2 linked regions of the Daphnia pulex genome follow. The protein of the gene in region 1 interacts with the protein of each later gene in a pairwise test. Links are inferred from orthologs where the notes say so. Each region holds a gene or a part of one and is shown on either strand. Other genes may lie near its edges. The genes, in order: protein phosphatase 1 regulatory subunit 12A-like and ataxin-10-like.

What was found.
Region 2: the proteins of protein phosphatase 1 regulatory subunit 12A-like (region 1) and ataxin-10-like interact in binary tests that used the Homo sapiens proteins (3 or more experiments, as listed by UniProt). The link is inferred for Daphnia pulex from reciprocal best matches to the Homo sapiens genes PPP1R12A and ATXN10.

The regions. Positions count from the first base shown.
Region 1 is NC_060023.1:10,247,768-10,252,272, forward strand, and holds the start of protein phosphatase 1 regulatory subunit 12A-like, read right to left. Parts: upstream 2,827-4,505; 5' UTR 2,404-2,826; coding exon 2,161-2,403; intron 2,085-2,160; coding exon 1,954-2,084; intron 1,886-1,953; coding exon 1,767-1,885; intron 1,698-1,766; coding exon 1,384-1,697; intron 1,307-1,383; coding exon 1,161-1,306; intron 1,069-1,160; coding exon 819-1,068; intron 749-818; coding exon 589-748; intron 526-588; coding exon 267-525; intron 77-266; coding exon 1-76. UniProt on the Homo sapiens protein: Key regulator of protein phosphatase 1C (PPP1C). Mediates binding to myosin. As part of the PPP1C complex, involved in dephosphorylation of PLK1. Capable of inhibiting HIF1AN-dependent suppression of HIF1A activity.
Region 2 is NC_060026.1:12,002,744-12,006,990, forward strand, and holds ataxin-10-like, read right to left. Parts: upstream 2,780-4,247; 5' UTR 2,640-2,779; coding exon 2,488-2,639; intron 2,425-2,487; coding exon 2,116-2,424; intron 2,056-2,115; coding exon 1,891-2,055; intron 1,825-1,890; coding exon 1,655-1,824; intron 1,597-1,654; coding exon 1,438-1,596; intron 1,379-1,437; coding exon 957-1,378; 3' UTR 636-956; downstream 1-635. Other genes in the region: uncharacterized protein LOC124205851, read right to left, coding at 1-120, 181-280, 355-561; solute carrier family 40 member 1-like, read right to left, coding at 3,863-4,061, 4,136-4,247. UniProt on the Homo sapiens protein: May play a role in the regulation of cytokinesis. May play a role in signaling by stimulating protein glycosylation. Induces neuritogenesis by activating the Ras-MAP kinase pathway and is necessary for the survival of cerebellar neurons.

The sequences.
Region 1 (4,505 bases):
GAGCGACGAGGCTGCCAGCAATGGCAAGGAATTGGCCTTGATCCGTCGCCGCAGTTCCAGCAGCCGCGAATAAAATCTACGGCGCGAGCACGGACACATACACACAAACACATACACGACCATGCGCGTTCAATGTGTGATGGAAAAACCCGTTTTTGTTAATCAAATGGTTTCGTTTGTTTTAATGAGTTAAGTGCTGGAATATTATCGGTGCAAGGGTTAAAATAAAGTCATTGTTTGCACAGACAAACACCCACAATCCTTACCGTTCGTCGGACTCGAAACTATGGGCTCTCCGTAGTGTGACTTCCGTATCGGTAGACAAGGCGGAGGTGGACGAGGAGATGGATGAGGCGGTTGAGGCGAGGTTGGACGAAGTGGTAGAAGAAGATTGAGGGGTGGCGGAGGAAGAAGACGTGACGGCCGCTACAGGGGTTAAAGGCTGAGAGATGGACCGGTTCAATCCTTCTCGCTCCGATTTGACCGGAGTGTGGTTCAATGTTCCACTGCCGTTGGCAGCATTGGCTGATGGAAAATATTAGAAATTAAAACACGAAACATTTCCAAGTTGCATGAGCGTTTGCCTACCAGCTTGCCTCGACCGGAAAGAACCAGGTCTTCTCCAAGAAGGAACATCCTCCTCGGTTTCAATCATTTGACCCGATTGCTGTGATGGAGACGAAGGCAGGTTGTCCACATCAGTGGCCGGTGGAGGTGGTGGACGTGAAGGGGGTCCGCTTGACGAAGTCTTTTTTTAAAATAAAAACCAGAAAATTAATATCAGAATCCGAGCTGAAATTAGACAAGGAAACGATTACCACTCTAGGAGAATTATCTTTCGTTGAAGTCGGGACGGATGTGGTGGTTGTGGCAGGGGTTGTGGCAGGTTTGGCTCGTTCATCAAAGGACTCCTGGACGGCAAGAGGGGCCACGGGCGAGGATAGTTCGCCACTGCTGTTCTCTTTTTCCTCGTCGACCATGATGACGGCACCGGGAACCTTATCCGTGATTTTGGACGAAGCCTGGATGGCAGCTTTCTCCGTTTGCGGGGTACGGGTGACCGACGATCTAACAATAGTCCCAAGCAAACAAACGCAGGAAATATAAACAAACAGTCCAGGGCGAGAGACAATTGCAAGAATGTCGTTAAAAAATCTCACCGTCTCTTGGGTGGTGACTGGTTCCTTGCGTTGCCTCGATTATTGTACACTTCTGGCCGCTCTCGTAAAATGATGGCCTGACGCTTCTTGCATTCTTCCAGTAACCGGATGATGTCAGGATCGGCCACATCAAAGCAAGTCTGACCCTAAACGAATGGACATACACAATAAATGAAGAGAATTCGGGTTTTAGATGCCACACTGTTGGCGTGCTGGATCGTACCACGTAATTGCGGACCTCCATGTCCGCCATGTTTTCGCACAAGAGTTGACATGCTTCACGCTGTCCCCAATGGGCAGCCGCATGTAATGGTGTCCAGCCGTCAATGTCTTGAATGTTCAGCTCGCCTCCGCCCTGAACGAGCATGCTCATCACGCGGATGTAACCTTTGGCTGAAGCGACATGGAGCGGAGTAGCGCCGGTTCTAGGGTGCGGCTGGAGCAGTCGAGCTGATGCCGGGTCTCCTTCCAGCCACCGACTAGTGTCAGCAAGCATTTGTCGTTCCTCTTGGCTCCTAGCAGCATCGCAGTCAATGCCTGTTGATCATAAATCCATAGTAGTGTCGTGTGAAAAGTGAGCTCAAGTGTTATTGTTTTTGTTATTACCTCGCAACTGTGTTTCTCGTTCAAGCAACTCTTCCATGGCTTCTGTTTCAGCAATATCAATAGGGAGTTCACCGTCATTGTTTACAGCAGCAACATCTGACTTGTTCTCAATCAGGTACCTAATTCATAATTCCAAACAGCTGTTGTTTAGCATTGTGCGAGCATCAAAACTAGTCATGTTAAGTACCTGGCAATTGATAAAAATCCACAAGAGGCTGTGGCGTGCAGAGGAGTCCAGCCTTCATGATCTCCACGATTGATGTCAGCTCCATGCTCCACCAAAAACTCCACCATATCCAAATTGTCATCGATGCAGGCCTGTATGAAGAAAACAACCCTCAAAGTCAGACGACTGGCGTAAATGGTTTGTTGACAGGGCCAAAACAAAACTGACCTGATGCAGCGCAGTTAAACCATCAACATTGGGGGTGTCTATGTCAGCTCCTTGCCGTATGAGTTTGAGTACTTCTTCTTTGTCACCGGCAGCACAAGCGGAGAGAAATACACATCCATCTGAGAATTGGATTCTCCTTGAAACCACACGAGCTGAGGCAGGTTCCTTGTTTGTCTCTGATTCCTCCCACCTTCTCAGTTGTTCAGCCCTCTTAAACAGGGCTGAATTTGTTCTTGACTCCATGTTTTTGGCGGCGTTTCAACGCAACCGTAAGCCACTGTAGAATGCAACCCGGGCACTTTCCGATCCCTTGAAGGGAATGTGACTCTCCTCAGAGATCGGAGGAGAGCGAAAGAAGGCACAGGACAACACAAGGGAGTGGAAGACGGGAGGTGCCAATTGCTATTGTATAAACACGTCGGGGAAGGCACACACTGTATCTAAATCCTTTCCCGGCCGGCGATATCTGACTATCCTTTACGCGGCTTCTTCTATTGATAGAAGACCGCAGTCTGGATATTTCGCCCCCACCAAATTGGCACGAGTTTCGTCTAGTTACAACACACAGACACACATGAATGGATGGAGATGGGGAAGAGACTCGATTCTGCCTCAAGCAGACGTCGCCATCTTGGCCTCTTTTTTTCAGTTTTTTTTTTTTTGTTTTTATTTTTAGACTTTTCCCCCATGGAACTAAGAATCAACGGTACACTCGCCACAGATTTTACCATCATGCTATTCTGGAAATTCTCCCAGGTGGCGCTGACTATTCACAAGAGGGTGAAGACTAAAGAGCTCTCGTGTTATATGTTAAGATGTTACGAATATTTTATCTAGCACAATGAGATCTTTTCGTCGGATCCCGAAATTCGACGAATTGTTCCCATAAAACAAAAACATTTATGAATGACACATACAATTTTTTAATTCACTCCATCGAAATGTTTATAAAAGGGCCCAACTATGGACAACTAGCGCCTCCCATGCGGCAGTTCTATCGATTCAGGAAATTTTTTCGATAATCTCGCCACCTTTACTTAACATTTGGTGCTTTCACCAGCGTTGCCAAGTCGCTACGTGCAGAGCAAGACAAGACGCTTTTTTTTCTTCACCATTTTCCATTTACATTCGGATCCCGGGAACCGACCGTATGTGCACCGGCACTCACGCACACTTGACCCAACGGCCCGTTCTTGGGCATCACGAACAGTCATGACTTCACTTTCCATCCCACAAAAAAAAATAGAAAATAAAAATACGATGCAGGACAACAGCCGGTGAGCCAATCCATTTCCAAATAAAACTCATCTTCAAAGTTTCTCTCTTCCTTCTCCCTTTCCCCTTTTTTGTTGCCTCCTATCCGCATTTCCCAAATGTGGATTCCGATCCATCACGCGGCCAAGTAGAGGGAGAAAAGGGAAAAGAAAACAAGTTTTTGATCGATAACTGAATGATTTTTTTTTCCCATAAGGGAATCGGAGATGAAAGATGTAGAAATGGTTTTAAACTCCTAAAATGCTATCTGCGCTATTAGATGGCAGTTGATGTCAGTATAAATAATGAAAAAACCTTTTCCAGGTTTCTACTTTTGATGGTTTAGCAATCGACGGCTACCCGATTGTTCGATTGCCATAAATTATTTGAATAACATTGATTTTGTAGACGAAGCGGTAATGGAATTCTTTTGGATCGACAAGTTCGTTTTAAATTTCCTAATGCATAATTCAAAGACAAGAGGAAGAACCCAAGATAAGAAAAATTGATATTCGAGCGTTGCCAAATTCTTATTGGATATTCCCATCCTCCTGTTGCGTCTTGTTATTGCTCTTTACCCGTCTTGCTCTGACAGCGGGAAACAAAAGCAGACCGCTCCTCCATCACTCAAATAGTCAAATGTTTAGATAGAAAGACATCTTAATTATTTATTCTTACCCTATAATCGTGGCGCCGAATCGTGTTTTCGTGTGTTGTTCCCAGTTTCACATAAAAATGACCAACATTGGCCCATCCTGAAAAGTAAACATTTACATATACTTTGAGTTGTTTTCCGGCTATAGAGTGACGTTTGTTTTCTTGTGTGTGAACGTTCAAGGTTCGTCGAATGGGACAAGCGTCACTATGGGTATACTGATTTCCTGCTATGATTCATGCTGCAGGCCAAAGATTGCCAATGGAGAATCCATCAACCCTTATGCATCGGTAAACCTATTTTGAGCCTTTCTACCTGTGTCAACACTTAATCATAAAATGCTGCAAATCAATTTTTTTTGCAGGCTTACAGAAGACAGTCGGAACAAGATGTTTTGAGGGAGAGGCAAATGCGAGATGAAGTCTGTGGCCTGCTT
Region 2 (4,247 bases), on another chromosome or scaffold:
GTTTTTGCTTACAGAAACCCTCAGTAACAATTCCGTTCCGGTTCATAAAATAGCATAAATTAGCAGGATCGACTCGTCTTCGAGCATAAAAGGTAGTTACGTTGATATTGGTTTCCTCGTCTAAAACAGTAGCGCGAACCATTGAAGAACAATGCTTAGCTATTTAAAAATTTAAATTACGTGGTATATGAGACATCCATTGGAGCCGTCCATCTACCCACCCCAAACCTGTCCACACCAACATTTCTGATGAAAACCAAATCGAGGAATGAAGGATCAGCTATTATATGCAGAAAAATTACAAGTCTTAATCAATATAATCCCAAATAAAAACTTAATCAATCAAAGTAATACCTCGAAATGGTCCGAATGAGCAAGTCCTCCATGGCGTTGGTAGCAGTGATCGGAAGCGTCGTGCCAAGAACGGCGCTCTTCAGAAATCAAGATGCAAAAACCCGTACCAGTTGAGCAGTTCCATGATTGCGGAGCCGCATGCGGCGCACCAGCAAAATAGATTAGCAGCAATTTAAAAAAATTGGCGATTAGATCCATTTTGGCCATAAGATGACTTACAGACGACCGACGGTAAGTCACTAGTATTTTTCGGAAAACGACGGTTACTTTAACCACCAACGTTCCCAAAACAGATTAAAATTTACTTCGTACTACGTTGCATTATCCAAAAACAAACAATGAGAACCACAATTATCAGCACACAGTCATTCCCACATCCTTAATAAAACTATGCATTACAACTGTAACCAAAATAGGTAGAAGAAACCATAGCCTAGAGCGCAAACCACAAGTCAAGGTTGCGAAATGGGTACTATAGGATAGATAAATATATGGTTTTTTACTAAGGTAGGCTTAATGTTTTCCATTTGAAAATCAGAAACTTCCATTTTTACTTGCACTTTGCACACTGTACACAATGGATGAGTATGGAATTCGATGGATTAGGGCTTTCGATTCGCCTCACAAGGTCGAACAGACAACCCAGAATCTGATTCCTCCACCACCATGCCTAGATCTTCTAACAGGGAAGGCTGGACTACTCCTTGCCGAGTCATGGAGCCGATCACTTCTTGATTTGCAATATTCTTCTCACACAAATTTCGAATTGCCAGGATTGACCATTGTTGAATGAAAGGGTTTCGGGCGTCCAAGTTGCAGCACTCTAGAAGTGGGGCGATGGCTTCGAGTTCACGGATTCGATCTTGAGCAGAAGGATTCTTGTAGCTTAAGTTGCCGAGTAAACGAACCAAATTACATTTGAAATTCAAGGCGGGATGAGGTTCGACCGATCCAAAATGATCATTGATAGTCGTAAAATAGTTTGATCCTGATTGGCCCAGACTATGTATGCTCCGTAGTAAGTCTGACAAAGCGAAAAGAATATTATTCTTACGACAATTTTAAAGGAGTTATAAGTTATACCAATAGTTGTAACTAAGAGATCGTCATCCAGAAAAAGTTCTCGATGACAAACATCACCAGAAGAAGATTTAGCTAGGATTTCAACAAGACTGGTCGCTTCCATGGCTTCCAGATCCAACGAGGGATTCTCGCAAGTTCGCAAAATTAGGCTAGCTCTTTCTAAAAAAAAAATTAATAATTTAAAATTGTGTAACCAAGAGGTAGATTTCCTTCAAACCTTGAAATAATCGGCTGAAAAATTGCCAATTTTGAACGTCCATGTCTTCGCATTCTGGAGAGAATTCTGAAATCTGGTGAAGAAGTAAGAGTCTTGTATGTATTTCTTGAAAGTTATACATATTTTCCAACATGTTTTGGTCACACATGAAGAGTTTGATTGCAAATTGTCTGTAAAAAAATGTAACCGATATTTATTAATGTTTAACAAAAATGTTGAAACTGTTTTACTCTTACGAATAAAGAATTCCTTTATGAGAAGACAAAATCAACTCAGCTGTCAGATCTCTCCACTTGTGGTTTGTTAACTCTTCTCTAATGGTGAGGGAATTTCTCAGCACACCGAACATGACAGAAGATGAGTATAAGCTTATTTTTTCATCTTCATGGGAAAGCAATTTACTACAGATAATCTGAAATCATATATCTAGATAGAATAATTTTGTTTTTCATAAGTCATACCTTAAATTAGATTGAAAACTTTCCCATATGATGTGGGATAAATTTGTATGTGTGTTCAATATGTTTCCAACACATTGAAGAATTACACGGGCAAGGACAATCTCTTCCACTGGAAACTCTTTTAATATGAAGCTTTCTAGTAGCTGATTGCATTTACTGAGCAACTGATTCCAAGTGTCAGGAAAGCTTTCCCAGTTTTTCCCACAACAATTTCTGAGAATGCGGGCACATTCAAGCACCAAGGGAACACCTACTGGTCTCTGGATGATTTTCAACAAAAGCTGCAAAATTTCATTTGGGATTGAAGACCTAAACTTATTTAACCAAAAATCAATCAAACAGTTAAGATGTGAGTATGATAAGACTTAATACCTAAAGTCATCTTCAACTGTCTGCTGAGTTAATGCCTGTAACTGGTTAAGTATGGGCTGATGATCGGTAGGGGACGAATTAAGATTAGCTAACCCTTCTTTTAACTTGAATTCTAATTCAGTCCAAAATGAATCTTTTGAGGAATTGCTCATATCGATTTTTTGGTTTTGCAGTAATGAGAGCAGCCGAAACCAATTTTTATGAAATCAAAATAAACACTTGTTGTGTTGAATTCCAACGTTGCCAACTGGTTGCCAATTTCACTCCTAATGCACAAGCAGCGCTTGAAATTTTGGTGCGAAATTTGAATTCGAGTGATTCGAGTACTTATTTTAATTAACTAAAGTAATTTCATAACCTTCGGACAAGTCCAAAGTTTAAAAGAGATGGGTAAACAAACTGTAAGCTACGCTTATGCGTGAGTGTGCAATAAACTGAAAGGAATTACTAGCCAAAGTAACCTCGAATGGGTCGTCTTTAATACCCACTCATTTTTCTATATCGATTACGAATTACTAAACAGTAACAATATTTGACTGGCTGTTCTCAGAATTATATACTGATGAATGAACTGATACGTACCCGGAACCCCATACGGCCATACATCGATTCACTATATATAGCGATCAACTATGGGAACTATAGTGAGTTTAACGACCGAGCAGAGCAGTTAGTTATACATTGCATCAAGGGTTGCATTTCAATGTACCTGTTCACTTTGTTGACTCTTTCCCAAACTTACCAAAAGGCTGAACGCTAAAAAATTTGTTGATACAATAGTCAATCCCAAATTCCCAACGTCGCGATAAACTGTATTTCAGGATATCTGACTAATATTTACAGTATGTTGCGTAACTCCACTATTAAAGCAAAAAGGAAATTAATGAAAAAAATTTGAATGTGGTAAATGTTCAAAGGAAATTACTCCAAGATAACGCTGAAGTATAATATATTTTGATTATTTTGAATCAGAAGCAGTTATGTTAATAAAATGCCAAATTAATATAACAGTAAACGCAATAACAAAGATAAATATTGCACTTTTTGGGATCGTTAGTCTTATTTTATGTAACCCAACATTGATCTGCAATAAATTAATCGAATTTCAAACATTTAACCTCGCTAATACAATTTAGGGCTTAGCCAGTTATGGAGGTTGTAGATATTGGTGTGCTGGTCTAATTCAATACTTATGTGTTAGTGTGTTGATGAAGGAATGGCTCCCAGCTCTCTGTTTAGCAGTATACAAAGTCGAACAATGATGGTATTCGCCAATTTATGTAAATCTGCCAGCAGATGCACTTATCTGAAAATATTTGTTACAACAGTGTCACTAAATAATCAGAAAATATTTCCTAGTAAGTAACCGACATGTTCACGAAGGGCTGTTGTCGTGTTTTGTCTCAGGCGACGATGGAATATTCCGACGGACCGCTGAATTTTCATCGGTTTTCTCGTTTTTCAGATCCACTGAAATTTGGTAAATTTCTTCCGGCGGAATATTATCAATTACTTTATGGAATGGCAGCAAATGTCCGCGTTTCTTGAAGGAATACGAAGCGAAGAAACTCCATCTGTGCAATTTTTTTTAAGTGAATATTTTTATACATGTATGAATTATGGTTAAAAGGAATTAAATCAGGATTACCCTGCACAGATAGCGGAAAAGGAGATACAGACGAGAATGCCAAATGTCTGTGGCCAAGGACAAGCGATGACTAGAAGAAATTTGACTGTGTCGAAGATCATATTCATTGAGC